Ovis aries: one gene and its partners. The protein of the gene in region 1 purifies or fractionates together with the protein of each later gene. This does not show direct contact. Links are inferred from orthologs where the notes say so. Each region holds a gene or a part of one and is shown in the gene's direction. Other genes may lie near its edges.

What was found.
Region 2: the proteins of OTUB1 (region 1) and UBE2E1 purify together in Homo sapiens (affinity purification with mass spectrometry; 4 studies listed by BioGRID and IntAct, with this or other methods). This does not show direct contact. The link is inferred for Ovis aries from reciprocal best matches to the Homo sapiens genes OTUB1 and UBE2E1.
Region 3: the proteins of OTUB1 (region 1) and SLC7A11 purify together in Homo sapiens (affinity purification with western blotting; 5 studies listed by BioGRID, with this or other methods). This does not show direct contact. The link is inferred for Ovis aries from reciprocal best matches to the Homo sapiens genes OTUB1 and SLC7A11.

Annotation. Positions count from the first base shown.
Region 1 is NC_056074.1:38,773,666-38,777,732, forward strand, and holds the end of OTUB1 (ubiquitin thioesterase OTUB1), read left to right. Parts: intron 1-1,429; coding exon 1,430-1,548; intron 1,549-1,714; coding exon 1,715-1,799; intron 1,800-1,909; coding exon 1,910-2,104; intron 2,105-2,212; coding exon 2,213-2,410; 3' UTR 2,411-2,563; downstream 2,564-4,067. Other genes in the region: ADP-ribose glycohydrolase MACROD1, read right to left, coding at 3,723-3,899. UniProt on the Homo sapiens protein: Hydrolase that can specifically remove 'Lys-48'-linked conjugated ubiquitin from proteins and plays an important regulatory role at the level of protein turnover by preventing degradation.
Region 2 is NC_056079.1:41,403,019-41,407,011, reverse strand, and holds the end of UBE2E1 (ubiquitin-conjugating enzyme E2 E1), read left to right. Parts: intron 1-1,149; coding exon 1,150-1,297; intron 1,298-2,237; coding exon 2,238-2,335; 3' UTR 2,336-3,028; downstream 3,029-3,993. UniProt on the Homo sapiens protein: Accepts ubiquitin from the E1 complex and catalyzes its covalent attachment to other proteins. Catalyzes the covalent attachment of ISG15 to other proteins. Mediates the selective degradation of short-lived and abnormal proteins.
Region 3 is NC_056070.1:19,470,814-19,475,834, forward strand, and holds the start of SLC7A11 (cystine/glutamate transporter), read left to right. Parts: upstream 1-1,323; 5' UTR 1,324-1,623; coding exon 1,624-1,900; intron 1,901-5,021. UniProt on the Homo sapiens protein: Heterodimer with SLC3A2, that functions as an antiporter by mediating the exchange of extracellular anionic L-cystine and intracellular L-glutamate across the cellular plasma membrane.

The DNA of each region.
Region 1 (4,067 bases):
CCCAGGCAGTTGAGTGGAGGGGGAAGACGTGGGTGGATGAAGAATTACGTTTAAATCCCAGGAGGTCAGGAGACAGCTGACGCCGGGCTGCCCCAGGCCTGAACAGCTTGTGCTGCTCACGCAGCAGGGGCTGTGGATGGTCCCTGGCGAGACTGTCTTCTGGCAGGGGACACATGGGTCTTAAAGGAGGGGTGTGTGGTTGGGTGGCAGCTGTGACCACTACAGGTAGGTGAGGAGGGGCAGCGGTGAGGGCATGGAGAGGGTGGGGGAGGAGCGAAGAAGGGGGTTTGCGTCACCACACCTGCGGTGCAGGGGGACGCTGCTCGGCAACGGTCTAGCGGGAGTGGGTTTGACCCTTGGACTTAGGAGGGCATCTGTGACCTTCACTAGAGAAGAAGCCGGCTGGGCTTGCGTTCCCAGCAGAAAAGAAATGGAGACAGTGGCACAGGCAGCTTCAGGAGCAGTGCTGCCCTGCGGGAGAGCAGAGAGGTGGGGAGGTGGCTGCGAGGGAATTCATGGGGAGCAGAGCATTTGTTTATAGGCGGTGGGGCCAGTGGGTCTGGAGAGAGAAGCTGATGCTGGGGAGCCGGGGGGGCAGACTTCAGGAACAGTGTCCTGAGTCCAAGGCAACATGGCTCTGGGAGCAGCCTCGGACCTTCCAGGGATGGAGAGTGAGGCCCCGGGGGGGTAGGGTGCCGTGGGGATGACAGCTTCTTAGTGGAAGTCCTCAGGAAGCACGGTCATCGGGAAGATGACTGGCTGGGGGCTTAACATATGGGGAGAAGGCATGAAATAGGCGTCAGGAGGAAGGGGAGGGTGCTCAGGCCCGGGGAGTGAGGCCAGGTTGCCGGACAGCACCAAGGGCCAGCCCCCGACTCCTGAGGGGAGATTGAACAGACAGGAGGAACTCCATTGAGCTGGGGAGGAAACTGGGAAAGAGTGAACCAGTACCCGTGAGCGGGCAGGGCAGGGATTAGATGGAGGTGAGGGGGGCTGTTTCCCACCCCAGGACTGTGCAGTGCAGTGGGGGCCCCCAGCGCGGCGCTGCGCCATGTACACTCACTTGTTTGCCCTGGATCTCTCAAGAGTTTGAAAGGCTATTCACTGGAAAAGCTGCTTCCGTCAAGGACCCATTCAGTTGCCTGGTTTTATGAAACAACAGCCCTTTAGGCCCAGCAGCATGGCATGCCTAGCGGCTGATGACCACTTTGGTTGGTGACCGATGCAACCAGTGTGTCTATAATTCATGTTCCTGAGGCTCTGGGGCTCCCAGCAGCGGGTTGCCAAATGACCCCCGTTATCAGAGTCAGCAGCCAAGGATGGCAGGAGGCTGTTGTGGTGACCTCTGTTGGGGGCATTTCCTGGGCCTGCCCTGGTTTCCGCCTGATGTTGATGGGCACGTGGTGGGGTGGGGGCTGCCTCTCCGCAGGACCTCCACAAAAAGTACTCATACATCCGCAAGACCAGGCCTGATGGAAACTGCTTCTATCGTGCTTTCGGATTCTCCCACTTGGAGGCGTTGCTGGACGACAGCAAGGAATTGCAGCGGTGAGGAGGCGCGGGGGAGGTTCCGTGAAGGGCGCGTGGGCTCCCTCCTCCCTGTTGGTGGCTGGGAGGTGCGGTTCCCCTTGAGGCCCAGTGATGGCCTGGGCCCTGCTGGGCCGGGTCTGCCGGCCTAGGAGCCCGTGGCGCCCTCTCCCCCACCCGTCCACAGGTTCAAGGCTGTGTCTGCCAAGAGCAAAGAGGACCTGGTGTCCCAGGGCTTCACTGAGTTCACAATTGAGGATTTCCACAACACGGTGAGGCCAGCTGCCCTGCCGCGGGGTCGGCCAGGGTGGCAGGTGGTGGCCTGGCAGTGGCAGGGATGACCTGTCTCCCCTGTCTCGCCCTGTGTCCCCCTCGGGTGCAGTTCATGGACCTGATCGAGCAGGTGGAGAAGCGGACCCCCGTGGCCGACCTGCTGGCCTCTTTCAACGACCAGAGCACCTCGGACTACCTGGTGGTCTACCTGCGGCTGCTCACCTCGGGCTACCTGCAGCGCGAGAGCAAGTTTTTCGAGCACTTCATCGAGGGCGGGCGGACCGTCAAGGAGTTCTGCCAGCAGGTGCTGCCCCTCCCCGCTCCTCAGCCGTGGGCCCCTTTTCCCTCGAGCCCCGGGGAGGGCCCAGGTGGTGGGGCCCCCGAGCGCCCCCTGAGCCGCGCTGTGCCGCAGGAGGTGGAGCCCATGTGCAAGGAGAGCGACCACATCCACATCATCGCGCTGGCCCAGGCGCTCAGCGTCTCCATCCAGGTGGAGTACATGGACCGCGGCGAGGGCGGCACCACCAACCCCCACGTCTTCCCCGAGGGCTCTGAGCCCAAGGTCTACCTGCTCTACCGGCCCGGACACTACGACATTCTCTACAAATAGGGCTGCCGGCCGCTGCCACACCGCCCGCCCCTCCGCCAGGCGCTAGACGTGTACAGAGGTTTTCTTGTGGTTGTAAATGGTCATACTTCACTCCCCCACCCCTTCCCTGTCACACGACCCCCCGTGTTTTATTAAAGGGGACGCTGGTGGTGAGCCGCGTGTGTGCGTGTCCCTGCTCGGCTGCTGCCCACCTGGCTGCTCTGTGTCTGGCTGCCCCCCTTCCCCTCAGGTGGGTTCCTCTCGGCCTTTCACCTGTCCACCCCCAAACCTCCCCGCCAGGAGAAGTTTTGAGGGGTCTGGGCCTCTCAGGGACCCTTCCTGGTTATGGGGGTTCTGCTTCCTTTCCTTCAGGCCGCCATCCCTTCCCTGTTTAGCTGGCCAGGGCTTTCCCTGGGGACCCAGGAGCACAGAAGCTTCTAGCTGCTCCCTCCTGGGCCCTGCCCCCACCCTGCTGTCCTGGCCGGAGCCCCCTCCCCCTGCCTTCGGTCAGGGCTCTGCGTGGTGGAGTCCTGGGTGGAGAGGGACCACGTGGTGCTGCAGCCTGGCTCAGGGCAGGCGGAGGTGCGGGGGGGCCCCAGGGCGCCCCAGCCAGTGCCAGCCAGGCGGGGGAGGGGCAGTCCCCCAGCCTGTGCGTGGTCCCGTCCCCAGGCCCAGCCTCCGGTGGAGCGGGGCGCTCCAGGCCCCCGTCCTCCCGCTCTGCTCCCCTCGGCCCCCTGCCTGTGCCTGCTTTGCACCCCACTGCTGCACTACCTTCCTTCCTGCCTTCACCCCGTTTCTCACCCCCGCCCCCTCCCCGGCACATGTCGGGTCTCAGCCCCCAGGCTGTGAGCTTCTTGGGGGCAGGCCCTCAATAAACGTGACGCGCTGCTGCCCACCTCTGCTGTCAACCTCGTGCCTCCCCCTGCCTGGTTCACCGAGAGCTCTCGCCAGCCCCTGATGCCAAAGCGGCTGTCCGCACCTGGGCTCCCTCCCTCACCCCCAGCAGAGCTGGGACAGTCGGAGCTGCAGCAGTAGTCTTTATTAGGCTCCTGACGGGGCAGGGGGTGTAGGGAAAGAATAGGGTGGCCCCGCCAGGCCCCACTGCAGGCTTCGGAGACTTAGAGCTGGGAGCGTGGTCCGGCAGGCCCAGGGGAGTCTGCAGGCAAAGACGAGAGGTCAGAGCAGTGGCCCATGGGCTGCCCCGGCCTCCCAGGCTGCCTCCCTGGCTTCCTTCCCTGCGTGGGGGTGAGCAGGTGTTAGTGGGCATGAGGTTAGTGGGCAGCCACACAAAGGGCCAGGCCCTGCTTACCAGTCCTGGTCAGGGTGGGCAGCATCACGCTGGAAGGCAGAGGACAGTGAGAGCCTGTCCTGGGTGGACGGGGCGGGACAGGGGCTGGTGGGGGCATGGTGGGGGCAGGAGGCACCTACCAACCGGGAAGTAGTGGGGGAGGCGATCTCGGTAGATGTTCTCATCCTTCTCCAGGAACACGCAGATGATCAGCCGGTCCACCTGCATCAGGGCCTGCTGAGCCTGGGCGGCAGCGGTTGGCTCCCCGGCTCCTGGGCCTTAACCACCACCCTCGCAGCTGTGGGGTTTCCCCTGCCCTGTCCTTGGGGCATACTTCAATCTGGGTTTAGAGCTCGGGCTACAGAAGGGGCTCGTGGTGTGATGTGCACC
Region 2 (3,993 bases), on another chromosome or scaffold:
GGCCACAGGTTATGCTCACTGTGGATGATGCGGCGTATTTCACAGTGAAAACTAGAGTCGAGAGAAAACAGCCCAGGCTCGAGCGGCTGACGCTGCTCTGTCTTGCTGCTGTGGCCCTTGGGCGTTTCTGGCTCCACCCCCGGAAACTGTTAAAGTGGATTCTGTGATGTAGGCCGGCAAGGCAGCTGCAGGATCTGATGTAAAGGTCAGAATGAGCAGAAACAGGCCGCATCTGCGGATCTACTTTTCAGCCTTTTGGGGCTGTGATCGGTGTTTGCTAAGCAGCTTGTCTTCATGTACCCACTGCTGCTGCTGCTAAGTCGCCTCTGTCGTGTCCGACTCTGTGCGACCCCATAGAGGGCAGCCCACCAGGCTCCCCTGTCCCTGGGATTCTCCAGGCAAGAACACTGGAGTGGGTTGCTGTTTCCTTCTCCAATGCATGAAAGTGAAAAGTGAAAGTGAAGTCGCTCAGTCGCGACCCCAGGGACTATAGCCCACCAGGCTCCTCCGTCCATGGGATTTTCCAGGCAAGAGTACTGGAGTGGGGTGCCATTGCCTTCTCTCATATACCCACTACGACGTTTGAATTAGGTGCTGAAGTTTGCTTTGAGACCATGTAGTTCTACCAGCTAACACAAGAGGTCAGCAAACGAGTAGTTATCCAAAAATATTTACATTAAAACTGCTAAAGATGAATTCAAGAAACATACAGGGAACTATATCCAGCTTCCTGGGGTAAAACATAATGGAAAAGAATATTTTTTTAAAAAGACTGTTTATATGTTTGTGTGTGTGTGTGTAAAATTGAGTCACTGCTGAAAAGCAGAAATTAACACAAATTGTAAATCAACTATAGTTCAAGAGGAAAAAAAGGAAAAATTGAAGTTACCTTGCTTTTTGTTGGTGATTACTTTTTAAATGAGATTGAAAATGCCTGAGATTGCATCCGTGAATACTTTCTAATCTCAATTTTATTAGTCTCTTAACACTTACTGGCTTTGTTAAGTTAAGCTGTTACTTTTTTTTTTTTTTAACCAATATCTATTTCTTTAAAAGGTTTAATTAGAGCCATTTAATTGAAAAGGTTTTATAGTAAAAAGTTTCATTGTTTGCTGTTTAAATTTCATTTAACACTACCTTATTTTTTAGGTTACATTTCGGACAAGAATCTATCACTGTAATATTAACAGTCAAGGAGTTATTTGCTTGGACATTTTGAAAGATAATTGGAGCCCAGCACTAACCATTTCTAAAGTCCTTCTTTCTATCTGCTCACTTCTCACAGACTGTAATCCTGGTAAGCTTATGGCTGTTTACCTTGGTTTATTCCTCCTCACCTGGGAAATAGTGGTTTTTTCCATTTAAACTAAGATTTTCTAAAGGTCAGATTTTATTTTTGTACACGCTTTCAAAGGAGAAAAACGTATCGTTTTTCAGAGGAATTTCTAGTCAACAGTTGTCTACTAGTTGAGAAACACAGCCGACTCACCATTAGCTGATGTGCTCTGGGAATAAGGAGTTTTAATCTGCAGAGTTCCCGTCAGATTGCCGTGGGTTCACATCTTTAGTCATATTCCCGCCTTCATGTGTTTCTGTTCCGCCTTCGCATATTTCCCGCACAGTTCTCCTGAAACGACACGCTTGTGTCTGCCTCTGACCTGCCCACTGCCTGCAGGCCCACTGTGCAGCTGCCCCTAACCGAACAGTGGCTCCCTGCTGTATACTTAGTGATGGCCAGACTGTGGTGCTTTCTGAACCTTCATTTCCTGTTACTAAATTTTTTTCTAGATAAGCCAAATACAAATTGAATTACTAAAGATTCTGTTTAGGTTTCAGAGAAGCATTGCTTAACTGAAAGTGCAGGTTTCCACCTGGCAGCTCTGGCCGTTTCTGGGTATAGTGGAGAGGCCAATGGTTTGATGCTGCAGGAGCCTCGAGGGCCTCGCTGTGCTCAGTGTCAAGACTGGGCGCCACTGAGCACAGGGTGGTCCTGTGCACGGAGCTGGGTGTTGACGGTGGTCGGGGCCTCGAGCCTCCCGGACCCTGCTGAACCCTGCCATGGAGGGGCGAACCCTGCAGTGGGGGGAGGGGCGAGTCTGGAAGGAGAGGCATCCGGAATGGTGGAGGGGCTTGATGACAGCCACCTGTCCACATTCTCCCAGGCTGCCACTGACCTACTGGCTAAGACGGAAACGTCCTTTCCTTCCCTCAGAGTAACATGCGGTCTTCTCTTCCAGCCGACCCCTTGGTGGGAAGTATCGCCACTCAGTATATGACCAACAGGGCAGAGCACGACAGGATGGCCAGACAGTGGACCAAGAGATACGCCACGTAAACTGGGCTCCACAGTCCTTCACAGCATTGTCTGTCACAGAGAGAGCTGCTTATGATTTTGAAGGGGTGGGGGAGGGTGGGAGTTGGTAAAGAGTAGGGTATTTCTATAACAGATATTATTCAGTCTTATTTCCTAAGATTTTGTTGTCACTTAAGGTATCTTGCTGCGGTAGACAGAATTGGTAATAGCAACTTCTAAACCTGCCATTAGCTCTGCAGTGTTAGCTGAGGTGCAGCACAGAGAGGACTAGGCATTTGGGTACAGTCGCTTGTAGACTGTAAATTTAAAACAGCTTAATTTCGTACAGGTTACACATGGACATTTATGTAAAGTCCTTCCAAGACTACACACTTTTTTGTCTTGAAAAATTGGAAATTGTTTTCCCTGCTTGAAAGGGAACATTGATATTTAACAGCTTTTAGAGACTGTCATCTCATATATAAAATGGACACGTGGCTATAAGACACCAATATAGAAAATGAGTAGTTATGTATTTTATTTTATATGCCAATCTACTTTATTGTGGAGAGAGAGAGGTTTGAATCAGGACTTCTGAAAACCTGTAGTAAAATACCTTAAGCTGTTAGCTGTCCGGCGTGGAGTAGGGTTGCTCAGTGGATTGGTTCTATGTTGTGGACTACTGAAGTCTGCATTTGTTACTGTGCTAATAAACAATATTAAAACAACCACCAACACTGCTGCATTCACGACTTTCTTTTGCCTTTTTTGGTAGTTTTTCTTCTTGCTAGATCTTTACTATTAAAACAATTACAGGTAATGCAGACTGAACACCTTGGTTTCATTTACCCAGCACCAACTGGGCTTGGTATGTTACTCTTAATTTATCCAACAGCCTTGCAGGATAAATACTGAGGTGCCTTAGAAAAGGTTAGATAATCTAAGTCATTTTCTTCCAAAGATAAGAGTTCTGCTCCATCTTTTAAAAGAATTCTCTAATTTGTAGATGCGGTGGTAGAATTCGATTGGTGCAGAAATAACTGTGGTTTTGCAGTGTTCTCTGCCATTTGATACTGGATACATTCTTAAATGTGGTTGTGTTATATACGTCATTCTAATGTGCATGTCTCAATTTACTTTTTTGTTTGCTAATGACTTATTACTTGCTAACAAAATGATGTTCAGTTCAGTTCACTCAGTCGTGTCCGACTCTTTGCGACCCCATGAATCACAGCACGCCAGGCCTCCCTGCCCATCACCAACTCATGGAGTTCACTCAGACTCATGTCCATCGAGTCCGTGATGCCATCCAGCCATCTCATCCTCTGTCATCCCCTTCTCCTCCTGCCCCCAAATCCCTCCCAGCATCAGAGTCTTTTCCAATGAGTCAACTCTTCGCGTGAGGTGGCCAAAGTACTGGAGTTTCACCTTCAGCATCATTCCTTCCAAAGAAATCCCAGGGCTGATCTCCTTCAGAATGGACTGGTTGGATCTCCTTGCAGTCCAAGGGACTCTCAAGAGTCTTCTCCAACACCACAGTTCAAAAGCATCAATTCTTCGGCGCTCAGCCTTCTTCACAGTCCAACTCTCACATCCATACATGACCACTGGGAAAACCATAGCCTTGACTAGATGGACCTTAGTCGGCAAAGTAATGTCTCTGCTTTTGAATATGCTATCTAGGTTGGTCATAACTTTTC
Region 3 (5,021 bases), on another chromosome or scaffold:
GCTCAGGTGCCAGCAAAACAGAAAATGGTCTGATCTCTACTTTTAAGTGGCTGCTTCTTTCTTGTGTCATCCTGGCTCACCTCCTCATCCCCATTGCCACCTCTCACACACACGTTTGCTGTCTGTTGTTTTTGCTCAGATGTTCAGAAACATATTTAATAGTGTTTGTAAATGTAGATTCAGAGTAATGATAACTAATTCTTCTCACTAAAATCCACAACCACCTATGACCACAGCCAAAAGTGGTAGCTGAGATTTCTTTTGGTATTTGTTTTATGAACACTTGATTAAGAAAGATAATAGGGTTTAAACATGTTTGCCTTTCTAACAATTTCAAACTAAGCATTTTCATTTTAGCTTATATTACTAACATATTTAAAATTTATAATTATAATGTAACAATAGTCTGTATACTTTAGACAAAAATCCTACATAATGTGAATACTTTCTCAGCTTTTATTCTGTGTATCTGTTTTCAAGCTTTTGTTATATGCATATTTTTATATCATTGTAAATGTTGGTTAATTTTGAAATTAGATATTTTTCATAATTTGTTGGAATAACATGCAAATGAAGGGTATATCTTTTTATGAATACTTAGTTTAGGAGGTCACCTAGCACTAATAAGAATCAAAAAATGACTATTTTCTGGAGTCACTAATTTTTGAAGTAGTCATACTAAGGTGGCAATTTTAAGTACTGGTGTATTATTGGTAGTAAGAAATAGTTTTTATCTTTAATGTTAAGTAAAGCTCACAGTTGTTTTGTGCATGACAGCAGCTATACAGAATCCTTCTAGGTCTGTAAATATTAGATTTGACTGTGTTGCTAGGAAACCCAAAATAAAAAGAAATTTAAGTAAGCAGGAAGCATTATGAAAACTAAATTTTGTTTTTATAAACAGTGCAGCTTTGGGTTATGCTCTGTGATTAAAAGGTTGGTGTAAACTATTTCATATGTACATTAAAGAAAAAAGAAACTTCTTACAACGTAGTGATCGTTTCCTGTTTCATTTTTAATTTTCTTCTCGTGTAAAGAGCTTTCACTAGGAGTTGCTTGAAATCTCTGGGAAGGTCTGTTCTGAATTTACTACTTCTGGATTGGTTAAAATCCCTTTTAAGTGTGTGCTTTGTTCTTTGAAAGCTTTGGTCAGTTGAGCAACTTGCTGCTCGTGGTTTTTTTTTTTTAAAAAAAAAGAGCTGAGTAATGCTGGAGCTTTCTCATGTGGCTGATGCAAACCTGGAGAATTTGCATCATCATCTAGCTGGAGTAAGTTGGTGTGACAGGCAGGCGCTTAAATACCAGCCCATGAGGAAGCTGATCTGGTCTGTAGTGATAGGGCGGCAGCAGCAGCCGCAGCAGCAGAGGTAGTCGGGGAGGTGAACGAACCAGAGCACCATGAACGAACACACAGGTGTTTCTGAGGTGTAATTAGATCGCGGAAGGTGAAAAGACACCTTAGCTCTTTTACCTGCGAGCACAATATCACTGAGGACGAATCTGAAAGCAAAAAGGAAAGAGATCAGATCGGTCAGTCACCCCAAGAGACACCACAGTTGAAAGTTTGGAATTAAAAGCAATTTTTTTTTTCCATTTCCTTTTACCCCACTGCGGGTCACTACCATGGTTAGAAAGCCTGTGGTGTCCACCATCTCCAATGGGGCTTACCTGCAGGGCAGTGTTAATGGGAGGCTGCCTGCCCCGGGCGGCAAGGAGCCACCTGGGCAGGAGAAAGTTGTGCTGAAGAAGAAAATCACTCTGTTGAGAGGAATCTCCATCATCATTGGCACCATCATCGGAGCAGGAATCTTCATCTCTCCTAAGGGCGTGCTCCAGAACACAGGCAGCGTGGGCTTGTCCCTGGTGGTCTGGTCGGTCTGTGGGGTTCTGTCACTGTTTGGTGAGTGTTCCTGCTTCTCTGGGGGTGTGTCTGTGGGGTTGAGCACTGTGCTGTCTGGGAGAGCAGAGGGAGATTTCAAAGGAGTGAATGAATGGCAAAGGCTACCCCAGATTTTCTGATTTTTAGGGGAGGTATGCAAACTATCTAAGCACACTGTCCACTGTTGGCAGAATGCTGAGTTCCCTGAAATTGCATCCTAAGTCTATGCTCTCTTTTCCTGACCAAGGCGCTCTGTGTTCTGACTTTTCGCTTTGGCATTGAATGTTGATGCTAACTTTGATGACCCAGTAAAATACAGGTGAACTTTCTGTACCCGGCACTTGTGCTCAGTGAAGGTATGTTTGGGGTGTCTTGGCAGCTGGCAAGCTGAATGAAACACCTGTGAAGTGAAACCCAGTGTGGCCTGTTTAGACACAGAACTGAGTGCTCAGCAGAAGTTTTACTGACTTTTTATTGGCAAAACAAATGGATGGCAGTCTTTTCCCTTTTAATTTTTTTAACTTCATGAGCTTGTCAGTTCCTAGTCTTCTTTCAAAAGTCCTTGAACGTGGATCGAAGTGTGATGGCACATAATTCAGCTCCTTTTGTAACGGATTATTGCAAGGGTGTGAGCATTTTTCACATTTTTTTGTACTTTTCATCTCTCCCCAGTACCCATAACTGTTTGCAATAGAAATTGTAGAATTGGAATTGGGTATTATTGCTGTTTGCCCAGCTCTGTTTTCTTCGTTTACAGTTCACTTGGTCTTTGGAGACACAGGTTATTGGTCCACCTATCTGCAGAGTTAGTCTCAAGAGAATTGGTAAAACTGGTGGAAGAAATGTGATTATTAACTTTTTTTCAAAACCTAGATCTCTTTTATTGACGTGATAATTAATAATAAAGAGGTAATAAATGTCCCCTCATGAGGTGGGCATATGACTGGAATGCTTCTTGGGTTAGCTGTAAAGGTGTTAAAAACTGGTGAATGGTCAAGAAAATTAAATTGTATTTATACTATGGGGCAAATGTCTAAGATATATTTGCTCTTCTCTGGCAGATAGTGCTTTTTTATTCCAAAAGATACTGCTCTTTAAAGGTTTTAACTCTTTGTCCTAACTCTCTAGGACCAAGTACTACTAACTCTTGGTCCTACATGGACTAACCTGTTTATTCTGAAGGTCTTGGCAATGTTTTCATGCATTGGTTTGAACATTTATCTAGAGAACTCAAATTTTCATGATTAGGAAGAAAGTATTTTAAACAAAACTTGTTGAAATAAAAACTTAATATAGAAATATCAACAGAGGAATTATATTTAGGTGTTTACAAAGGGTTTATGGTATTCATATTTTGTGGCATATACATTTATAGACAAAGAGAAACCTAATTATTGATCTTCTTAAATGATTTTGTGTGCCCTCAGCCTTTAATCTTCTCCAACACTTGGTATATTCAGAATAAATCATTGTCTAATAGGAGAAACCATAGCCAGGTTCCTGGATTTTGTATCCTGTGTGCATGCAGCTCCCACTATGTGATTCCATTTTTGTATACTATAAAAGGCTCTTCAGATATGATAAAATGGGTGGCTCTGAGCATTAACTAGTTAAAGTGATGTTGACTTGTACTAAGAAAATATGCTTCTGCATAAGTGTGTCATCTCAAGTGATTAAAAATAAACTAATGAGACTAGCTAAGTTTACACTTGAGTTGGTATTCTTTGATTACTAATCACAGGGAATATGCTTCTATACTAATCTATTTATCGATGTTTGCATTACATTGGTCACTTGAGCTCCTAGGAACTTTTGACAGGAGTGCCTTCCTAACAGAAAGCAAAGCAAAATATAAGGGAAAAAATTCGTTGTCTTAAAACTCTGGAACTAAGAGTATAGAATGTGTATATTGTGTTTACAATTTTGTTTAAAGCCAGGTTTAATACATGGGTTCTTACATCCTATTTTGAACTGTTTTCATCTGACTAATATGGTTATGGAGCTTGAGACCTTCAAATGAAAATTTCACTTTCCCAGAACTCAATTTAAACCTGGGGCAACCATCCTGGAATTTAACCAAAGAATACACAAGTCTAGGTATTGAGTCTCTGGAGATAAATTCTGAGGTTCTTAAGACATTTTCCAATAACATTTAATATTGGATGATTTTTTGTACACTCTACCAACATGGCAACTGGTTTCCAATAGAGAATGAACTGCAGGTAGTTATAGTTAGTTTTAAATGGCCAAACTGTATCGGTGATTCCCAACTATCCATCTGTAGACTAAGTTACTTTAGAATTAGCTGTGCTAATTTTAAAATTATAGATTTTCTTTGATGCCTCTGTCAAAGAGTCTGGCTTCTCTTGATCAAAGAGGAGGTCTGGGGGATGGCCTTAGTGCTTGTATTTTTTATTTTAATTAAAAAATTATTCCCAGGTGATTCTGATAGAGTTCTAGTTTGGAAATAGGATAAGCAACATTAAGATTTTGCTGAATATCCAAATTACGTTTATGTTGGACAGTTCTACCTGAAGCTCTATTGATTAGTAATAATTTCTCACGCTTTTAGTCTCCAGAGTAGCTCAGGCAGAAATTATGTCTTACATTTGAGTACTTAACAGTATGGGTAGAACTTTTCACACAATGTCAAGATATACTTTTCATTATATATACAATAACTTGCTCACAGTAGTAGGTGAAGCTGTATTTCATGAGGTGCTTTCTGTGTGTCAGGCCTGTTACTGTCCTTGGCATTCATTTTCATACTTATACACACAATCCCCTTATGAGGTGAGAATTAAAATCTTTATTTCTCAGAGGATGAAACTGAGGTTTGGAGAGATTACATAATCTGCTCAAGTCTTTGTGAATTTTATTGCTAAATGTTAAAAATTGGTTCATAATTAATTTTATCTCCATGTTCATAAATATGTTAAAGCATCTCTTTTTCAAAACTTTTATTTCAGTCACCCAGGAATGATACTCTGAAATACATCCATAAGAAACTTTCTCAAAAAGAGAATATCTGAGTCAAATTAATTTTGTTGATAAACAAAACATACCCTATAAATTAAATGAAGCCTTCCAAAACCTTGAGTCCATACTTTTGAGGAGAAGAGAGGAATTTTATTTATTTTGA